3 linked regions of the Rattus norvegicus genome follow. The protein of the gene in region 2 binds, or shares a complex with, the protein of the main gene of each other region. Links are inferred from orthologs where the notes say so. Each region holds a gene or a part of one and is shown on either strand. Other genes may lie near its edges.

Region 1 (7,295 bases), on a different chromosome or scaffold from region 2:
CTGGGTGTGGTGGCTTCAGCAGGGCTGAGATTTACCAGTGTACGATTGGAAAAAGAACATGTCTCTGAACTCGTTGATATCCAGCGAATCCCTAAATGACAATGCCACTACTTTGACCCCCCAGAATTCCCCATCATCCTGCCTCCAAAAAGGACTGCATGATCCGGAGGCTCCTGGGACCACCACTGAGGCAACATAGTGGAAAATATCACTTCCCAAGACAGGCAGCAGCCATTCCACTCAAGCTAGAGACTGAGATCCACGTCCCCAGCAAGAGGGGGAGCCAGTGGACTGGGCGAGCTGGAGTGGATATCAGCCCACGAAGCAGAGGAGGCTAAAAGGGAAGGGTGCTCAGATGTACGAAGGATCCTTGTGCAGAGCTATGTGGCAGCAGTTCTCAACACGCATCTTAGGGATGCTCACAAGGCCATGTTAGCCAGTGCAGGAGATGGGTGAGAAGAAGAATGACGGACAGTCACCAAGAGGAAAAGGATGGCTCAGGACCACTAGAACCAGGTTCTCGGCACAATAGAGATTCATTTGCTCCAAAGGAACAGAGGGCAGGGAATAAGAGACAAAGCCAAGAGATAGAGAATGAGGGAGAAGGGGAGGGGAACATGGTGTGTGTGTGGGGGGGTGGGTGACAGAGGTGGAGAATTTGTCCCAGAGGACAAAGGACTGCCTCTGGATAGAGAGGAGACAGATGTGGCCCATAGGAAAATGGCGGTTTATAAAGGCAAAGGGGAGATTTAGCTCAGTGGTAGAGCGCTTACCTAGGAAGCGCAAGGCCCTGGGTTCGGTCCCCAGCTCCGGGGGGGAAAAAAAAAAAAAAAGAACCAAAAAAAAAAAAAAAAAAGGCAAAGGGGAAACCCCTTGGTAAGATGAGGTGTTTAATTTTAATTGACATGTTAATTAGGCAAGCCAAAGGGGGCTTTTGATTGCTGGACTTCAATACTTTAACAGCTAGGCCTTTGCAGTCAGCCTCAGAAGGAGGGAGTGGCCAAATAAGGGAATAGACCTTGGGGGCTAGCTTTGAAAATGCTAACAGTTTTTAGCAAGGCAGAGGGGATTGGGGGCGGGAGGGGGGAGCCTGCCAGAGTCATGCTTGCCATGTCTGAGTCCCTCAGTCACTAACATCCACCGCGTACCAAGTACCGAGTACCGAGTATCAAGTACCGGGTACCTACATAGCCCTCAACAGAGCTCTTTTTTTTTTTTTTTTTTTTTCTTTTCTATTTTTCGGAGCTGGGGACCGAACCCAGGGCCTTGCGCTTGGTGGGCAAGCGCTCTACCACTGAGCTAAATCCCCAACCCCAACAGAGCTCTTGATCTCTACCAGTGCCTTGGAGTAGTGGAAAAAAGCCAGTGGGTTTATGACTTTCTGTTAGGATGCTTGCAGACAAATCTGACAGCCCTAGTTCAATCCCCAGGATCTGCATAAAGGAGAAGGAGGACTGATTCTCCAGCATGAGCCCTACCCATAAATAAATAAAAATATAATTTTAAACTGTTTAGAGGCCAGCCAGGGCTACAGAGAGAGGGGTGGGGGATGGGGATCCTGTCTAAAAACAAATGTCTGAAGTGGACGAGGAGCAGGCGGGTAAAATAGAATCTCAGCACTGACCGCCTTCAGTGAGCTAAGGGGACACCGTGCCGCGGAAGGCTTCCGAAATAAACCTAATGCATTTCATACTTAAGTTGGTACTAAGAAAAGACATTTATGACAAGTCTCTAAATCTCCTCATGCAATCAGCCTCGCTGTGTCTGCTCCACTTTTACAGATGAGCAGCACAAGAGCTAAAGCCTGTCCAGAATTGGAAGCCTCCTCTCCTGCCTGAGAGCTCAGAGCCTTCATAAAAGGCAGCTTGGAGCCGTGGCCAGCCTGGGCTCGATCTACGTCAAGCAAGTGGCCCTACCTGTCTGAGACACACGGGACTGCCCTAAGGCCGTGCCCAGCTCAGGGGTTTCAGTATCTCAGGCAGTGCTGGTTTCTGGTGGTGCCTCTGTCAATTAGTTAGGCGATGGCTGGGTGTCCAGATGGCATGTGAACGTTGGAGACAAGTGGCCCACTCAGGCGGTGAGATCTCCAGCAAGTGCCTTCTTCTTTCAAAGCATTTTTCCTCCTCAGTAAATGAGGATCAATAAAACAGGACTTGTAAGCTGGGGATGAGGTTGGCTGATAGAACACAGCTAGCAGATGAATGAATGAATGAATGAATGAATGAATGAATGAATGAATGAATGAGCAAGCATAGCTGGACAGGGAAACATGCCTGTAACCTTATGGCTCAGGGGCTAAGGCAAGAGGATCATGAGTTCAAAGCCAGTCTGAGCTACTTAGAGAGACCTGTCTCCAACCAAACCAAACCAAATATAACTTGCGTAAATCAGAAATGTCAAGATGGGAAAGACAAAGCAAGGGGAGGGACTATTCCAAATTAAACCAGAATAACAAAGCCAGGTACAGAGGAGCGCCTTTAATCCCAGCGCTCAACATGAAAGGACAGGTGGGTCTCTGTGAGTTGGAGAACAACCTGATCTATAAAGTGAATTCCAGGCTAGCCACGGCGACAGAGTGAAATCCTGTCTCTCAATAAATATAACGAGAAACAAAATTCAATGTAGGATCCCAGACCAGCAAGGGGGAGGGGGGAGCAACAGGGAACATTCTGAAGAGAGTGGACAATGGCATAGGAACAGTGTTGTTTCTATTCTGTGTTAACTATCTTGACTTGCTTAACTTGGTTAATCATACTATGGCTTATGTAAGAGAATGTCTTATTCTTAGGAAATACATCTCTTACCGGAGAGGTAAAGGATGAATCCTGAGAACAGCCAGAAACCAGGGTGCACAGCGATACTAAACGCCAGGAAACTCTCTAGCTGAGTGTGGACTAAGGATACTCAGGAACTTTCTAGGGTTTTCTTTCTCTCCTTTGATGGGTTAGTGGGGGAGGGGAGACAGTTTCATAATGTCTAGGCTAGCCTCAAATTCATTTGGTTGGGCTGGAGAGATGGCTCAGGGTGGTTAAGAGCACTGACTGCTCTTCCAGAGGTCCTGAGTTCAATTCCCAGCAACCACATGGTGGCTCACAACCATCTGTAATGGGATCCGATGCTCTCTTCTGGTATCTGAAGACAGCTACAGTGTACTCATACAAATAAAAATAAATCTTTAAAAAAATAATTCAGGGGTTGGGGATTTAGCTCAATGGTAGAGCGCTTGCCTAGCAAGCGCAAGGCCCTGGGTTCGGTCCCCAGCTCTGAAAAAAAGAAAAAAGAAAAAAAAATTCATTTGGTAGCTAAGGCTAGTTTTGAACTCTTGACCCTCCTGCCTCTAACTCTACAGTAGTTTTAGCTTTCTGCTTTTCTTTCAATGGAAAGTCGTTTCATTCTAAAAGATTTTTGTAAATAGGATGAGAAAAACATCCTCTGCCACTACTCGGGACCAGGTATGTCCAGAGGCTAAAAAAAGGGGGGGAGGGGTTCAGAAACGGAGGCTGAGAAGCCAATGTCGATGGTCGCTCACCTGCACAATTTCTAGCATCTCCTCCCGGCTGATGTAGCCATTGCCGTCCAGGTCGTACATGCTGAAGGCCCACATGAGCTTCTGCTCCAGGCGGCCACGCGAGGTCACGCTCAGAGCGATGATGAACTCCCGGAAGTCGATGGTGCCGTCGCTGTTGGTGTCAAAAGTGCGGAAGACATGCTCGGCGAACTTGGAGGCATCGCCGTAGGGGAAGAAGTTGGCGTAGATCTTCTTGAACTCATCCACGTTGAGGATGCCAGTCGGGCAGTCCTTCAGGAAGCCCTTGTACCACTCCTGAAGCTCCAGCTCAGAGAACTCGGTGTTCTCTCGCAGGTCCTGCAGCATCTCTGGCCGCAGCTTGCTATTCTGCTTGCCCATGGCAGAAGAGCCAAGTCCCACCTGGGTTCCCCCCAACCAAAGGAAGTGAAAGGAGAGAGCAATGGTTACGTCCTTTTAGTCCCTTGACACTACTCCAGAAGGGCCCTCAGACACAAGATACCCCAAACTCTCATTTGACCCAAAAAGAGAGAGGTGGCCCCAGACCACACACTCTGCTCTGTGACGTGCATGTCTGGGGAACAGACACAAAGAAGAAGGAAGGGTCCAGCTCACGCTCACTGACACCCTTCTGGCTGTCCGTGGTAAGCCCATTCACAAGTACACATTTTCACCCTCCTAAGGGGACATTGGGTTGGCTCCATTTTCTACATGAGAAGGGAGGCTCAGAAAAGTAAGGTGGTCTGCTACAGATCACAAGGACACTATCAATAGAGCTGACTCCCAGAGTGTCCTAGAAGGGTGCAGAAACGCTTCTGAACCCCCCTTTGCACCTGCTGCCCCATTCCTGGCTTCCCAGAGGTCTGTTGACTCCACAGCGGACTTGCTGTTCGGACACTGATTTTCTTCCTGAAGATATGCTTAACAGGGGGTTATTAACCTGGACCCCGAAGCCAGAACTCCTGGGCTCAAATACCAGCTTTCCCTCCTAACAGCTGTGTGCCTTGGACAGTTTCCTTAAACTCTCTGTCTCAACCACAAAGGGGGTTTAATAATAGCACTTACTTCATAGGGTTATCTCGGGAATTAAATTAGTTAATACCTGTGAACATGTTGGAATCATGTCTGAGGAGGCAGGTGCGACATGCATGTTAAATGGGTAAAAATGATTTACATGTATCCAGATTCCACAAAGATCAGGCTTGATATGCAAGTGCATGTCCCCCAGCACACATGATGCCACACAGATCACCGAGTTCTCCCTAGGCTCTCTGCCACTCACATACTAGCCTCTACCCCACATGGGTCACCGTGCCTCCACACGCAATAATCCCACTGCCCCACACAACTCACACGCACTGACACACAGCACCACGCACAACTCCCATACACCAAGCATCAAGACACACCAGCCCACGACCCCACATGTCTCACACATGCCATGACACGCCAACTCGAATGCCGACACCTCTCACATGGCCAGCTGCACGTGGGACCTTCAGGCACCCTTGTCATTTGTCTTTCTATCCCCGAGGTGCTGCCAGGTCCCAGGAGAGGGAGCTGCAGCCCTTCCTCAGACCTGAGGAGGACTCTTTTTCTTGGGGAGCCTACCCAGCCCACCCAAACCTCCCTCATCACTCACATTTTCTCTGGTTTCAAAAGGTCCCCTCAGGGCAGGGATTAAAGTGTAAGGCAAGCACAAGTGACAGAGGGGAAGTAGCCGGGCAGTCATAAGCATAGGTGTAGGGGTGTGTGCAAGTGGGTCCTGAGGTTGGAGATACGAGTAAGACAGGATGAAAAGGGTTCCTGTGCATGTGGGTACATGAAGCTCTATGCACATGTGTGTGCACATGTGTGTGGGTGCGTGTTGAATGCGTATGCTCACCCATGATGTGGGTCCTGGGCTCTGCACCGCATCTATCTCCCTATGCGTTTCCGTGCATGTCTGCATGTGAATTCTATATGCGTGTTGAGCGGGCATGCACCTGTCACAGAGAGGAACGTTCCCCAGGAATGTGAGGGGACCTGTGTCTGTCCTCAGTAGTGTGTGTCATGCATGTTCCTGTAAGTTGGTGCTCCCTCCTTTCTGGATCAGCCTCTTCTGCCCCAGGCTGAGAAGCCACGGAACAAGTGTGTGGGAAGGGACTGAGGAAATGCGCAGGGCTGAACAAGGGAGCGTGTCCCTTACTCCCCTCCTCAAGGTCCAAGGAACTGGGTCAGCGGGGCGGGGGCAGAGTGATGCGCTGAGCAGGAGCGCTCCTCTAGGTGCCCCTTCCTCTCGGCCACCCTCGGCATTGCCTTTCCCAGCTGGAAGAAATGTGTTTTCTCCTCAAAGACCCCCAGTGCCCAAAATAGGAGGAATCTCACAGCTCGATCTGAGAAACCCGCCCTAGCATCCCCTCCAAACCTCCCCGGCGCCGGCCCTGAGCCCCCGCCTCCATCCTTCCCGCACTGGGTTCGAGGTACCTCCTGGAGGGGGCGCCCGGGACGGTCGACGCGCGACTCCCGGGAGCCGGCCACTTGGCGGTCAGGACCCTGGAGAGCGCCGTGCGATTTCCCCCGGGGCAGCCCGGGGCTGGCAGCGCCGCGGGTGGGAGGAATTCCACGAAGCTCGGGGAGGAGCGGGCTGGGGAACACTGGACTTGGGTTCCTGGCTCCCAGGCTTCCCTCCCCTCATCCCCGACCCCGGCTCGAGCGGCCCCCACTCACCCAGCAACGCCGAGACACCGACTGCGCAGGGAAGGCGGCGCTGCTGCGGCGCGCGGCGGCAGAGGCGGCCAGAGGGGCGGGCGAGACTGTGAAGGAGACGCCCCGCAGCGTTGGCCCGGAGCCCCTCCCCTGGGGGGGTCCCCCGCCGGCAGCTAGGCTCCGCCCCCGCCCCCTCCCGGGAGAGAGAACGGAACGCCCTCGATGCCCCGGCCCCCTCTCTAGGGAGCACTTCACCCTGGGAGGATGATCCGGACCCCCAGCTCTGCAAGCCGACCCGGAGGGGCAAGGAAAGAGGCGGGTCAGTGTCCAGGGACTGCTCTCCTAAGCCAGGAACAATCCACCCTTACCTGGGCGCGGGGCCGCCTGTCGCCCCGCTCCGAGGGCGGAATCCGATAGGCACCCTCGCTGCCCCCGCACCTCAACTCCGGAGCCAGATGAACTGGGGGCTCTCTAGGGAGGAGGGAGAGCCTATGCCTCAGTTCCAAGGTCTTCCAGGGGCCAGACACGCCCCCTGCTACCTCCGCCGCAGAGAGCCCGACCCCCTTTCCTGCCTACTACACTGAATGTCATCCCCCAGTCCCTCTAAGAATTAATCCCACCTCCCACCATCCATGTACCTAGCTCTTCCCAGTACTCCTCCAGGCAAGGTACTGTATCCTCTCTTCCCGTAGCCTAGGCGAATGCAGGCCTGTGACCGGCCAGTACAGAAGCATGTCCCCACCTTGGGAGGTGGGGGTTCTCAGTATGCCTCCGGTCTACACTAAGGAGAGCTGCTCTTAGAGGCGCTGATGGGGTCACAACTCCTCCTGCCTGCAAGGGGGCTACACCCTCCCTCCTCCAGCTCTGGGAACAATCAATCAATCGCTACATCCTGAGCTTTAATGCTACCCTTCCCTTCTCTAGGATGTGGACTCTGTATTGTGTTCGGCACTGCAGAGAAGGAAACTGAGCCTTAGAAGGGTCGAGTGCTTTTTCCAGTGTCTGACAGCTAGTGAGTGACTCGAACTCAGGAGGAGTTCGTCCGTTTCAAAAATACTTCTCAAGCATTGCTTCCGCACGT
Region 2 (6,552 bases):
GAAGGAGCTCATTGAGGTGCTCTGCCAGACGGGGGCCAACTCCATGAAGCTCCAAGCTTTGCAGGAGGACAAGGCAAACTACCAAATCCACCTCAGGTCTCACAGATCTCTTTTATCCCAGGCAAGGCAAGGACTCTTTTAGAACAACTTGGTTGCAATAAGAAATGGAACCACTAGAGGGCAGAGTCGCACACTTCAGGACATGGCGGCATCTATAGCATCCTCTAACCAACTACTTAGATTACTCTGAGCCATCTGTGAACAAGCTTTGGAGAAACGATTTTGAGGACTGGTTATGAAATCACTTACTCCCAGGACATCACTGCCGTATTAAACAAACAAACAAGCACCATGACTGGATTTTTTTCATTTAGCCCAATGGACTTAAGTCCCCTTTCTGCCTTCATAGCTGTCCCCATCAGTTGGCCCAAGTAGGTAAAAACTTGGTACTGCACCAGTCTAATGACCTGAGTCCAATCCTGGAGCTCAAGTAAGGCAGGAGAGAAATGACGTCAGTCACAGTGCTGTCCTCCATCTCCACAGGGATGTACCCAATGCCTACATGTGCTCTTACTCCCCATCTCCTGTCCTCCCAGCCCTATCCCACTAGTAAAAAGATTAAAAAAAAAAAAAAAAAAAAAAAAGTGTGACACGCTTGTGTTACTGTACGGAGTCTGGGCACGCCCAGGAAGTGCCAGATGGGATCTGTTCCGCTCTCTGAGGCTCATCTGAGTCCTGTCCCCACTGCAAGCCAGGCCTACTCACCACACCACGGTCTCCCAGGTCCAAGGCATCCCAAGTGAAGCCCTGGGGTAGGGTGTAGGGCTCCTGGCGAATGTTGTCTTTGTCAGGTTCCACAGGGCCATGGGTGTTTACCACTTCACCTAGAAGAAGAGCACAGCCCAAGTCCATTGTCTGCCCACAGCATGCGAGGAGGAGCTCACTGAAGACATTCCCTGGAAGGCTAGGAGTTCAGCTGGTAGAGTGGCTGCCTTGCTTGTGCGTGTAATTCCTAGTACTAAATAACTGGGGCAGAGTGGGACAAGCCTGTAACTCCAGCACTCAGGAGAGGCAGAGGGACCAGAACTTCAAAGTCATTTTCCACTGCACAGTGAGTGTAAGGCCAGTCTGGGTGACATAGACCCTGTCTCAGAAAACAAACAAACAAACAAACCAGAGTAAATTTCTGCCATCCCTAGGAACCCTGCAGCTGAAGAACACTCTATGCTTGGTACCTGTAATCTCTCTCCAGTCACCTTTGACCCCCAGTTGAGGGCGAATGTCCACAAAACACTCAGAATAATCTCTAGGATCCACGGTGGCTCAGTTTGGGAAATCCTTCTCACCACAGGCTCCTGAAGGACAAACACCATGGCTACTTTGGCTTCCTGTCTCCTGGTGGGTGTAGGGTGTCGTCATGTTCTAGCCCAGACACTCTTCCCTGACTGGAGGTTTGTAAGGTTGCATAAGCCTGCCTTTGTGTCAAGACCAACGACAGTGTTCCGGGCTCGCCCTTCAGTCAGATGATAGCTCTGGCAGCCAGGGTCTCTCAGCCTTCCAGCTTCAGCCTCCAGGCCTGTGGCCCAGCAACTGCCAGGTCAGGGCATCAGGGCTTTGAGCCCTAGAGATGCCTTTGGGTTGAATCACCCTCCTGCATGATGCTGCCGGGAAGTCACCCTCTGACACAACCCCTCCTCTGCCAAGAGCTTGGAAGCTGAGATGGAGGGAGGAACTGAAACCAGATGAGGCTGGAGAGGAAACCCAGGCAGGCGAACCCTCCCTTTCAATAGGTTTTGTTTACTTTGCCCCCCCCCTCTTTTTTAAAAGAGAATACTAAGTAGCCAAGGCTGTCCTTGTGCTCTCAGCAATCCTGTCTCAGCCTCCCAGTGCTGGATTCCAGGTATGCATCTGATAGCCAGCACTCCACAACAGTCCGCAGACACTCAACTTCCCCTGTCGGAGGTGGCAAGCTCAGTACAACACCTCCCATGCCCGTCGTGCAAAGCCTAGAGCAGCATGAGGTAAAGGCAGGTTATGAGCCTCAGAGGGAGGAGAGCCTGCTCCCCTCAACAGGACAAGGAAAGAGGGTAGCTAGACAGAATGACAGATCGAAGAGGTCTGAAGGCTCACTCAGGGCACCTAACAACAGTTACCCAGACCGAAGCTTCTGAAACTGTGAATTGTAACCTTGGGTTACGTAAGTCAAAGTGTGGGGGTGTCAAGAAAAATTCAGCAATAGCAAAACCAAAAACAAATTGAAAATTAAACATGTATGGAATCTGAGGTAGTTCAGGCAGTGTCATGTGACTTCACTGTAGCCTTGGCTCTGAACACACATGGGCACATTGTACTGTGTATACCAACATGCCAAAAAACATCAATGATCTGCCTCAGACCCTACATGGATGGTGGCTGGAAGACGGCTCCGGGGCAGAGCACTGCTGCTCTTCAGTTCAGTTCCATTGCCAGCACCCATGTCAGGCGGCTCCTAACTGCCCTCTGAGGGCAAAGGCATACCTAACACACGCAGGCACAGGCACATTTAAGCTTGTTTGTTTCTTGTGTGCATGAGTGTTTTGCCTGCATGTATATATATGGTGTCCATGGAGGTCAGCCGAAGAGGTCAGATCTCCTGGACCTGGAGTTAAGAATGGTTGCCAGCGGGGCTGGAGAGATGGCTCAGTGGTTAAGAACACCCGACTGTTCTTCCAGAGGTCATGAGTTCAATTCCCAGCAACCACATGGTGGCTCACAACCATCTGTAAAGAGATCCGATGCCCTCTTCTGGTGTGTCTGAAGACAGCTACAGTGTACTTATATATAATAAAATAAATCTTTAAAAAAAAAAAAAAAAAAAAAAAAAAAGAATGGTTGCCAGCCACCACCTAGTGCTGGAACGGAACCTGGGTCTTCTACCTGGACAAGTGTTCCTAACCACTGAGTCATTTCCTTTGCCCCCACATAATTGAAAAATAAAATCACTCAACAAATTTTGTTTTACAGAGGTATATGCCATGCCCACCCAGATTTAGTTCTTTCTCTTTTTTGAGAGAACCTCTTTTTTGGGGTTCTCTGTGCAACAGCCCTCGCTGTCCTAGAACTCACTGTACAGACCAGGCTGGCCTCGAAACTCAGAGATGCCTCCGCTGCCTGAAAGCTGGGATTAAAGGCATGTGCCCCCACACCTGGCCATTTTCATTTTGTCATGACACAGACCACTGTAAATCAGAAAACGCCAGTCAGGTGACAGACAAATGCCACGGAACAGAGCTGTCTTTTTACTTCCTGGTTTTTGACTTGGCTCTGCCCTCCTAACCACAGTGTACTGCAAATGTCACAATGTTTCTGCAGAACAGTGGCACTGACAACTTGACCATCTCTTACTTTTGGTGTTAGGGCTTGAGTTTTGTTTTATAAAACAAAATGTGCTGGAGAGATGGCTCAGCGGTTAAGAGTACACACTGCAGAAGACCCAAAATCACTTCCCAGAATCTGTATTGGGTGGCTCGCAACTGTCTGTTTCCTGGGTCTGTACTCAAGGCACATATTCACACGCATACATATATACATATATATTTTTTTTTTGGTTCTTTTTTTCGGAGCTGGGGACCAAACCCAAGGCCTTGCGCTTCCTAGGCAAGCGCTCTACCACTGAGCTAAATCCCCAACCCCCATATATTTTAACAATATATGGATATTAGAAGAAAACATGTGACAGTTTGTATATGCTCAGCCCAGGACATGGCACTATTAGGAGGTGTGGTCTTGTTGGAGTAGGTGTGCCACTGTGGGCATGGACTTTAAGACCCTCATCCTAGCTGCCTGGAAGTCAGTCTTCTAGCAGCCTCCAGATGAAGATGTAGAACTCTTAGCTCCTCCTGCACCATGCCTGCCTGGATGCTGCCATGCTCCCTCCTCAATGATAATGGACTGAACCTCTGAACCTGTGAGCCAGCCCCAATTAAATGCTGTCCTTATAAGAGTTGCCTTGGTCATGGTATCTGTTCACAGCAGTAAAACCCTAACTAAGACAAAATACAGATTTACTTCCTCAACTACAGACATAAGAAGCAAGACTTGGGTCCCTGAATCACTCATAGAGCCTTTGTCCACCAGAGGCCCTGAGGTTGGCCACCCAGGTCAGCTGTGGTTCAGACCTAGTAGACATCTCTAACTCCAGTATGTGCAGTCTTTTCTGGAATACTTTTGGGACTTGTCTGTCCAATCCCTTTATAAGTTTATTATATCATTTTTTTAGTTTTGTTTTTTTTTGGACGGGGCTCTCACTATGATGTAGCTTTGCTGGGCTGAAACTCCCCCTGTAGACCGGATAGCCTCAAAGACAGGATCTACCTGCTTCTGCCTCCAGGTAATGGAAGCAAAGGTGTGTCCCACCCCCTAACTTCACTGTGGCTTTTAAGGCCCCCTGATGAAGCCCACATGTGCCCCTCAGAAGTGAGCCATGACTGCATTTGAATTTAGTAAGCACTCCCTGAGGGGAGTGGAGGAGCCTGCGGACTCTCCCCAGTCCAGAGTTCACATTTGTCTATACAAACAAAACAGCCTTTCACTAATTTAAGAGGGAAGTCAGATATTCCCACTTATCATGGGTTATGATGTCGTTCTCTGAAGATTTATTTAAGAGAAGAAAGGACTAAAAAGAACCATCTTTGTTCTGTGTGTCTGCCCTGAAATGATAAGGTCTCTCAACAATAGTCTTTTATACATTTCTTCTAAGGACTAGCCTTACCCAAGAACTCTAGGCCCTCCCAGCCCTCCCTTATAAAACCCATACAGAGGTGTGGCTAAGGCCCACTCCTTGCTCTCACCTGGAAAAGGAGGCACATACCTAATTTGGGCACTGGCTGTGTATCCCAGAACTGGTAGCTTCGTTTACTGGCTTCCTCCATGGTTTTGGCGGGCCCCTGACCCACTGAGAACAGCTCAATGGCTTTCTGTATTTCCTGGATCCTCTCTGCTGGCAAAGAGTTCATCTGGGCAAGACAGTTGGAGAAAAAAAAAGGCCCATTGTGTTAGCGAGACTTAACGATTCACTGTGAATTTGAGAGTTGGCGAGGCCATGCATGGTGAAGCAAGCCTTTAATTCTAGCACTGGGAGACAGAGACAGGCAAATCTCTGTGAGCCAGCTTGCTTTACACGGAGAGCTCCAGGCCAACTAGAGCTTAATGGCGAAACCCTGTCTCAAATAGTTAGCTTGGAACTGGAGTGCAAATCTAATCCTAGCTCTCAGGAGGTAGAGGCAGGAAAATTAGAAGTCAAAGCCAACCTTGGCTACATGAGACCTTGTATCAAAAAGAACAAACAAACAAACATACAACAGTTCAGAGCTGCAGAGATGGCTCAGTCGGTAAAGAGGCCCTGAGTTCGACCTCTAGCACCCACATAAACAAAAGTTAGCAATGGTAGTCTCTGTGTAATTGTGCTGCTGGGGAGGCAGAGCTAGGGGGATCCCTAGGGGCTGTGGGCCAACCAACCCAGCCAAACCACAAAGCTCTGGATTCAGTGAGAAACCTGTCTCAAAGATGAGGTGACAAGCCTGGGCGATGGTGGCGCACGCCTTTAGTCCCAGTGAGGCCAGCCTGGTCTAGGACAGGGAAGGCTACACAGAGAAACCCTGCCTTGAAAAAAACAAAACAGGTGGCAAGTGGTTAAGGAAGAAAACCAACACTGACCTCAGGCTTCTACATAGCATGTGTAACACTCACGACCAAGTACACACAAACATATGACCAAGCGTTCAAAAGTCAAAGAATACTATCCAAAACCAGGGTGTGGGTCTTTAGTACGAATCATAAGACATGGAGAAAAGAGCCGTTGAGAATTAGTAATGGGGCGCTGCCTATGGGATTTTGTTGCTTTGATTTTTTTGTTCTTTTTGGGGTTTTTGTTTGGTTGTTTTTTTGTCTTGAGATGGGGGTCTCATTTCGAGGTATTGGCTGGCCTGGAAATCATGTAACCCAGGATGACCTCAAACTTTCAGTTCATCTTGCCTCTGCTTCATTACCAGTGTGTGCCGCCACACTTGGATGTCCTCGGGTATTCCTCCCCATCCCAGTCTCATGCTGTTTATGCCAAAAGTAATGGAGCTGACTGCAAACTTTCAAGCAATGCAGAGTAGAAAGCACAGGGAGAAAAGCCTGTAGCCGGGTGCGGTGCTGTAGGTTTGTCGTCCCAGTACCTGAGAGGCCTAAATACGAGGATCAGAAGTTCAGGCCAGCATGGGCAACATAAGATACTGTCTTAAAAAATACAGGGGGCAGTGGGAGTGGAGAAGCAGCTCGGCAGTTCTTCTACAGGACCTAGGTTTGATTTTTAGCACACACATGGAGGCTCACAAGTGTTTCAACTCTGGTCCCAGGGGATCTGATACTCTCTTCTGACCTCCACTCACCCTGTACACATGTGGTGCACAGACGTGCATGCAAGCAAAAAACCGAGACCCACAAAAACAATCAACCCTACCCTCCCAACTACGATCCTCATTATGAGCAGTTTTAATCTGAAATTTTGAGAAATATACAGAACCCCAT
Region 3 (7,345 bases), on a different chromosome or scaffold from region 2:
CACTCCCTGGGCAAAGCCTATGCAAACCACCACTCCTTCCGCTCCCTGAGTGAATGTCTCCAGCCAGCAGTACCAAGGGATGGGGAGAAACTAAGGAGAAAGGGATCTCTGCCCCTCGCATATACGAACACCAGGACAGAGAATTTGTGAGCCACTCGGCCAGTTTCCGCTGGAGGCAGGAACTGTATCTCTTGCTCCTTCTCTGTGTGCCCAGCAGAGTGGACACTCAGTGAATGGCAGATAGGGAGCCGTTCTGACATGATCCAGTAAGGTGGTAGGCTGCCGTGTAAAACCATGGCTCTACTGGGCCTCAGGAAAAATAGCCCAGGACTTGCTCCATCCCTGAGTTACTGTGCTAAGCACAAAGACTGGCATGGCAAGAAGAGCCATCTGCAGAGATGAAACCACCCTCCAAAGACATTTTAGGCTGATTCATAACGAAGCTCAAAGCTGAGGCTGGGGCTCACTGATAGAGTACTTGGCTTATTGTGTGTAAGGCCTTGGGTTCCATCCCAGCATTGGAGCAGGGATAAGGTGTGCGTGGTGTGTGTGTGCGTGGTGTGTGTGTGTGCGTGTGTGCATGTGTGTGTGTGTGTGTGTGTAATGTTTTCACGAAATAGTGACAAATTTGGAGAGAGTCCCTGGCTACTTACCCGACATGCCATATTACACCTCTACTCACTTGGTCACTACCAAGACCATACCCATTTTGCAGAGGAGGAAAGCAAGGCTCAGCTAAGCAAGAGGGAAGGCTTCTCCTTCAGCTTGAATTATATGAGGATACAACAGGCTTGCCAATCAGTTCTGAGAGACTGAGGCAGACCCCACCCCCTCTCCCCAGCACTGCTACTACTGTTCATGCTGGTCTGTGAGTCCTGCCTAGGCTGGGGGGCAGAGGTAGAGGGGTCTTCCCCTTCGCTAACCGGATGCACTTAGAGATGGAGTTCCAGAGAAGGGCAGGAGAGCACAGTGTCAGCAGATAATCTCATCTGCACAGGAAGAACAGAAGGTTCCAGAGCATTAAGTCTGAAAGAAGGTTATCTTTGGCTAGGCTGAAGCCAGGCGTGAATCCAGATGTGTTGTGAAGTCCTCGTGGAGCCTCCTCATGGAGTCCTCAGTCTCTCTCCCTTCTTTCCTCTCCTCCAACCCCTGCCTCACATGGACCACAAACCACAGTAGATCCGCACAACCCAGGATGGTACATAGACTGAGGCAGGGCCACTGGGTCCCCAAACTGGACCCTGCAGCATAGGACAGCCAGGGACCTGCAGTATGAGTCAGACTATGTTTCTTCAATTGGGTCTCCCCAGAACCAAGAACCAAAATCAATACATGACTCTCACCGTGTGGGGTGTGTGTGTGTGTGTGTGTGTGTGTGTGTGTGTGTGTGTGTGTGTGTGCATTCTACCCGTGTGGTGACCAGCTGAAGGCCAGAGGTCAATGTTGGGTGTTATGGCTCTCCGCCTTCCTTTGCTTTTAAAGGTTTGCTTTATTTTAAGTTATGTGTAAGGGGGGTTGGGGATTTAGCTCAGTGGTAGAGCGCTTCCCTAGCAAGTGCAAGGCAAGCACAAGGCAAGTGCAAGGCCCTGGGTTCGGTTCCCAGCTCCGAGAGGAAAAAAAAAAAAGTTATGTGCAAGGAGCTTAGGGGAGTTGTGTGCGTGAATACAGAGCCCATAGAGACGAGAGATTTTGACTCAGGTTGAGCTGTAGTTACAGGCAGTTGTGAGCCCCAGACATGGGGGCTGGGAATTGAACTCTGGTCTTAAAGAAACAGCAGTGCTCATTCTTAACCACTAAGTCATCTCTCCAGTTCCTCCACCTGATTGTTTGGGCTGGTGTCTCTCAATGAACCCAGAACTGGCCATTTCACTAGACTGGCTGGCCAGTGAGCTCCCAGGATCCCTCTAGGTCTGCCTTCCCTGGGCTGGAGTTGTGGACACGAACCACATGTTCAGTCAGGTACTGGGAACCCGCCTCAGTTCCTCATGCTTGCACTGAGCATCTCTCCAGCCCCAGGAGAATACAACTCCAGAGCTCAGCCCAGACCTAAGAGAAGAGCAAGCCAAGTGGGAGGGACAGGAGATGGTGACATTTGGGAATACTTCCTGGATGATGCGTCTCTTGACTCCCTACTCAGAATTCCCCTGGAAGTGGGGAGATGCTGCCTGCCATCCCTCATGAGAAAGGAGAAGCAAGGAGAGCCTGCCGCCAGCGGCGAGCACGCTCTGCTTTACCCGATGAGGTTATTTTACTCCCACTAAGATCTGCAGACCTATTAACCATCATCTTCGAGAGATGGCTGTGGGCCACTGAAAGACCTGCCTGGAGGGAGCTGGCTTCCATGGGGAGACAAGCCAGAAGCAAGTGAATCCCCCTACCCCTAAAAAGACCTCAGATGAAGGAAAAGCACCCAGACTACCTCCATCTCTGAACAAAACTGCTCCACATCACAAAAGGCCTTTAAAAATAGCTCAGCAGAGCACCACCAAGCCGGTGCCTAACGAGAGTTTTGCTGGTCCCATTCTTCCCAAGGTAAGGCCAGCCCTTCAGAGATGGGGCTGAAGAAAAGGATCTTGGCCCCCATCGGGTCTTACAAATCCAGCATTTGGCCAGGGTGGAAAAGAGAGGCACAGAGAGGCACACTCAGTGAGCATGGCACACTCAGTGAGCAGGACTCATTTGTGGCCCCCCAGCCTCACCATCATGGAGACAGCTTGGTACACCACGTGCCATGGTTCCTGGAGAAGTCCACGGAACCCTCTACCTTCCCCAGACCCTGGGGTCCCGGCCCATTCAGGGAGGGAGGGTGTTCCACCTACAGCCTACCTGCTAATGACTGTGGGCCACACCTTCAAGGGTCCGGTCAACCTCACAAGCAACAACAAGCTAGAAAATCCACCCACTGAATCTGGGAAGGGAGAGTAGGTGGCCTGGGCTGGGAAGGACACCTCTACAGGAGCAGTTCCTGGATGTGACCTCTCTGATTCCTCGGGACAGGGACCAGGAGAGCCCAGGCAGTAAAGCCCCCTTTGTTCTAAGTCTGGGAGGGTAAGGAGCACGGGGCTAAGGCACTGGGTTGGCCAAGACCTGCAAACCTGCTCAGAAGACCGATATAGGGGGCAGGGGAGAGCAGAGGCCATGCACTGCACCAGAGCCTCCATCTCCACGGAGCTGCCAATCAACTGCCTGTCTTTCTGGGTGATGCAGAGAGCACTCAGCCAAAGCCTCCCAGGCCCCACTTCCAGGGCCACCCCTGGAAAGGCTTCAAGGAGGGGGACACATGGTGTGAATGCAGAGACTTATCTGTGAAGTTGGGCACGTGGAGAGCCACCCCTGGGACTGATCTAGAGGACTGTGGAGTAGGACAGACCTTCCCTCACTCGTCAGCTCGTCAGCTCGGACTATACAAACCCATTTCCTGGTGCGGCAGAGACAGGAGCAAGGAAGGGGTGAGACCAGGAATACAGCCCAACAGTGCGGCATCTAATAGGGCGCCCAAGACCCTTGGACCCTTACAGTCACTGCCTGAGCATTCTACCAGTCTCACCAGCCCTCTCCTTCCCAACACACAGTCACACTTGCCAGGGAGGGGGCGACAGGCCAACCTCGCAAGAGGCAGGAGCCGCAGCAGCATCATTAAGCATGAATCACCCACCCACCATGCTCCAAGCAGGAGAGCCACACTACGCCCGGGCGCCCCCTCCTGGGACCACTTGCCCCCCACCCCGGCACAGCCCGAGCCCTTCGGACTGGAGGGGGCGGTGGGTGGGCTGCAGATGCCCTGAGGACCTGGGGTGGTCCCTGGAGCACGCTGACAGGCGACACCCAGCCAGGGCCGGGGGCGGGGGCGCGGGTAGAACAATGGGCCAGGTGCGGGGCAGGGGCGCGGCCGAGAAGGGCGGAGGGAAGGTCGAGGCGCGATGGGGAATCAGGGATCCGGGATCTGGGCGCACTCACAGTAGGTTTTTCTGGTCAGCTCCTCCACAACTTCAGGCTTCAACTTGCTGTTGGATTTCCCCATGCTCGGCGGCCGCGGCCCCCGCTCCCCGGGCCGGACCCGCTCGGGGCGCCCAGCGGGAGCGGTTGGGTCGGGCCGGGGTGCGCGGAGGCCCGCAGGCCGGGCTGGGCCGGGCCGGGGCCGCGCCTTTGTCTGGCCGTGCCCGCGCGTCCCGTGCGCGGGGCTCCGGCGCGCTGCGCGACCGCAGCTGACGGTTCAAGGGGCCTCGGGGATCCGGCGAGGGCCAGGCCTTTGCGGTGCAAGCGGCCACGGCGGGGAGTTGCGCGGGGCTGGGCGCCGCAGCCGCCGGGGCTCGGTAGCCGCGGTCGTCCCTGGTTACTGGGCTGCGTAGCACATGCTCGCTACCGCTGCGCCGCCGCCGCCCCTACGCTCCCCGCCTCCCGCCCGCACCGGCGCGCCAGGGGTGGACTCGGAGCCGCCACTCAGCGCCCGGCGCCACCTCCCGCCCAGCTCCGACAGGCGCGATCTCCGAGTTGAGGCACCCCCCCTCTCCAGTTGGCTCTCCGGGGACGCCGGGAGGTCGCCGCACCGCCCCCTTCGCCGATCCATGTCCTCCCAACCCCCTCTCCGCAGCGGCGTGGGCAGGGAGGGCCCGGAAAATCGGACATGAACGAGGCCAAGTCCCTGCCAGGCGCGATTCATTCATTCCACTTGGATGTGTTGGGCTCTGGGGACCGGGCGGCCAACCTGACAGGCGCGATCCCAGGCCTCTCTGGGAGCATCCTGATGTGCTGGCTGGCATGGGTTGCGGTGGGAACACTTTTGCCTGGCCTTGGGGGAAATGACTTCTAAGATCAGGTTGAGAGAGGAATGGGGCATCAACCTGGAAGGTGTCTGGCTGGGAGGGAGAGCAGCCTTTACACCCCGGGCTCCAGGCAAGGATGGGAATGATCTGAGGCCAGGCAGAAGGACCAGAGCTTCTGGAGACCAGCCTGGCAAGCCCGTATTGCCCAAGGACCTGGCCTCTGTCCCCGGGGCCCAGGAATACTTGAAGTTAGGCCTTCTCTGTTGTGAGGCTTGCTTGGAGAGACCAAGGGCAACAGAGCCTGCTGGTGGAGCTCCGGGAGGGACCTCAGGGAAAGATTAGCATGGCCTGCCCTGCCCTTCTCCCAAAAATATCATCGTAATTGAGACCTCTCCTGACTTTCTGCTCAACTCTTGTGTCTTCTCAACAGCTTAGGAAAACTTGGACCGCTTAGTTCAGTGGGACTTGTTTCTCCCAAAGAATGAGCCCCCAGGGGGAGGGAGAGCAAATATACATCCTGCTCTCAGAAGGTCCTGAGGGCCAGTAGCAACCTCTGTGAGCCGGCCTTAGTAGCAGAGGCCTGGGAGCTAGCCCAGCCACACAGGGAAGGGTTGAGGGGGCAGTAGGGTCCCTGATTCACAACCAGCTTAGACAACAATTAGGAGGGAGACCTCTCAAGGAAAGGGCAGAAAACAGGTCGGGCGGGGAAGGAATGACCCATGCCAGGAGCCAGAGTCCTGCAAAGACCATGCAGGATGAAGCCATCCCCTCCAAAGCCAGCGGGGATGCAACCGTAGACAGAATTTCTTTTTCTCCCCCTCAGAGGGCATAAAGCTCTACCCAGGGCAATGGCACCTTTCAACCTCAAATGTCTCCGGCCTTCAGACATTCTGTTCCTTCCCACACATGAGCCCAAGTGAGACCCAGGTTCCAGCATGTTGGTGTGAAGGACCCATTCCATACAGGAAGTGAGCAGGCATGGATCCTGGAAGCTGGCACTGTACCACAGCTGGAGGAATCTGCACTAGAGGTGGGAGCAGGGTACCCCAGCTTTGAGGATCAATTCAAAATGGACACTGAGGAAAAGCCACAGAAAGAGATGCAGAGCTGGCCAGCCTCACCTGAACATCCTGCTCAGACAGAAACCATGGGCCATGACTGAGGCAACAGGGTTAATAGCTGAAGCCTTACAGAGCTTCGAGGCAAGCCTGTCACTCCTCAGGAGAGGGAGGTAGGAGGATGAGAAGCTCAGTGCCAGCCTTGGCCATATAATGAGTTCAAGGACAGCATTTCAAGGACAAGCACAGTTCTATGACATTTTAAAAAGACTGGGGACATTGTAGTGACCAACATGAGAAATGACCATGTCTCAGCTTGCCCAATGACAACCAACTGGTCACCATCACCATGCAAAGAACCAGGACGCTGGGGGGTATGGGAGTGAGGGAAGTGCCTGGCTTCTCACAGTCACTAACACTGGGCTAGCATTTCCTGGGCACCTACTATGTGCCAGGCCCCTGGGGATGTTGGAAAAGTCCTTGCCACAATAGAACTCACAATGTAACGATCAGGGGGACATTAGAAACCGTGAAAAATGGGTTGGGGATTTAGCTCAGTGGTAGAGCGCTTGCCTAGCAAGCGCAAGGCCCTGGGTTCGGTCCCCAGCTCCGAAAAAAAAAAAAAAAAAAAAAAAAAGAAACCATGAACAATTCACACAACAGACAATATGTTACAGAACCAAGGAGAAACAGCTCAAGCAAGGTAAGACGGGGATGCCAGGTACTGGTGAGGATCTGTGAGCCTCCTGGGATGGAATCTGGTCAAAGACTTGAAGCAGGGAGAAGGGTATTGAGGACCAAGCAAGGCTCTGTAGTGTCGGGGGAGCACAGCTGGGGTAAGAACAGTCTCAAAGGGTAGGTGAGGAGGGGCAGGAGGGCGACTGAGAGAATTACAATCAAATGTCTGTTCTGGCTCATGGCTGTGGAGGCTGGAGGTCCAAAGACTATCTGGTGGTGGCTCTAATGGTAGAGCCTCAGGCAAAAGGACAGGGACAAAGGGAGAGAGCGCTCTCTCTGCCTCTTCTTATAAAAGCCACCAAATTTGCCAGGCATGGTGGTATAACACACCTGCATAGCTGAGGTGAAGGGCTGACTTTGGGGGTGTGTGTGAGTGTGTGTGTGTGTGTGTGTGTGTGTGTGTGTGTGTGTGTGTGGTGTGGTGTGGCAGGGAAGGGGGAGCTGAGATCGTGGCTCAGTTGATAAAGTGCTGAGGACCTGAATTTGATCTCCACAAACTAGGCTGTGGCTGTGAGCTATGCAGTGGGGAAAACAGTTACCTCAGGAGTGTGCCAGTAGGAATTCAGACCTCCTGCAGCCCAGTGAATGTGAGGTGGGGCTTGGCAGCCTGTCTGTAATCCTAGCGCTTGGCAGACTGGCTAGCTAGATTTACTTCATCCGAGAGTTCTAAATTCCATGAGAGATTACTCCTCAGTGAAATAAAGTGGAGAGCAACCAAAGACTTCTTTTTTTTTTTTTTTTTTTTTTTTTTTTTGGTTCTTTTTTTCGGAGCTGGGGACCGAACCC

What was found. The genes of interacting proteins can lie anywhere in the genome.
Region 1: the proteins of Nmt1 (region 2) and Hpca are in contact, whole or in part, in a crystal structure (PDB 7OWM), measured with the Homo sapiens proteins. The link is inferred for Rattus norvegicus from reciprocal best matches to the Homo sapiens genes NMT1 and HPCA. Residues at the interface, in NP_066565.1 of Homo sapiens: Tyr180, Val181, Glu182, Asp183, Asp184, Asp185, Met187, Phe188, Arg189, Phe190, Tyr192, Ile245, Asn246, Phe247, Thr282, Ala283, Gly284, Tyr296, His298, Ser300, Lys310, Phe311, Ser312, His313, Tyr401, Leu403, Ser405, Tyr420, Gly468, Ile469; in NP_002134.2 of Homo sapiens: Gly2, Lys3, Gln4, Asn5, Ser6, Lys7, Leu8, Arg9.
Region 3: the proteins of Nmt1 (region 2) and Ncs1 are in contact, whole or in part, in a crystal structure (PDB 5O9S), measured with the Homo sapiens proteins. The link is inferred for Rattus norvegicus from reciprocal best matches to the Homo sapiens genes NMT1 and NCS1. Residues at the interface, in NP_066565.1 of Homo sapiens: Tyr180, Val181, Glu182, Asp183, Asp184, Asp185, Met187, Phe188, Arg189, Phe190, Tyr192, Asn246, Thr282, Ala283, Gly284, Arg295, Tyr296, His298, Ser300, Lys310, Phe311, Ser312, Tyr401, Leu403, Ser405, Tyr420, Gly468, Ile469, Gly470, Asp471; in NP_055101.2 of Homo sapiens: Gly2, Lys3, Ser4, Asn5, Ser6, Lys7, Leu8, Lys9.

The regions. Positions count from the first base shown.
Region 1 is NC_086023.1:146,744,278-146,751,572, forward strand, and holds the start of Hpca (neuron-specific calcium-binding protein hippocalcin), read right to left. Parts: upstream 4,082-7,295; 5' UTR 3,908-4,081; coding exon 3,530-3,907; intron 1-3,529. UniProt on the Homo sapiens protein: Calcium-binding protein that may play a role in the regulation of voltage-dependent calcium channels. May also play a role in cyclic-nucleotide-mediated signaling through the regulation of adenylate and guanylate cyclases.
Region 2 is NC_086028.1:88,504,822-88,511,373, reverse strand, and holds part of Nmt1 (glycylpeptide N-tetradecanoyltransferase 1), read right to left. Parts: intron 4,995-6,552; coding exon 4,850-4,994; intron 1,462-4,849; exon of another isoform or gene 1,236-1,461; intron 885-1,235; coding exon 766-884; intron 1-765.
Region 3 is NC_086021.1:34,917,685-34,925,029, reverse strand, and holds the start of Ncs1 (neuronal calcium sensor 1), read right to left. Parts: upstream 4,082-7,345; 5' UTR 4,022-4,081; coding exon 3,958-4,021; intron 3,786-3,957; exon of another isoform or gene 3,674-3,785; intron 1-3,673. UniProt on the Homo sapiens protein: Neuronal calcium sensor, regulator of G protein-coupled receptor phosphorylation in a calcium dependent manner. Directly regulates GRK1 (RHOK), but not GRK2 to GRK5. Can substitute for calmodulin. Stimulates PI4KB kinase activity.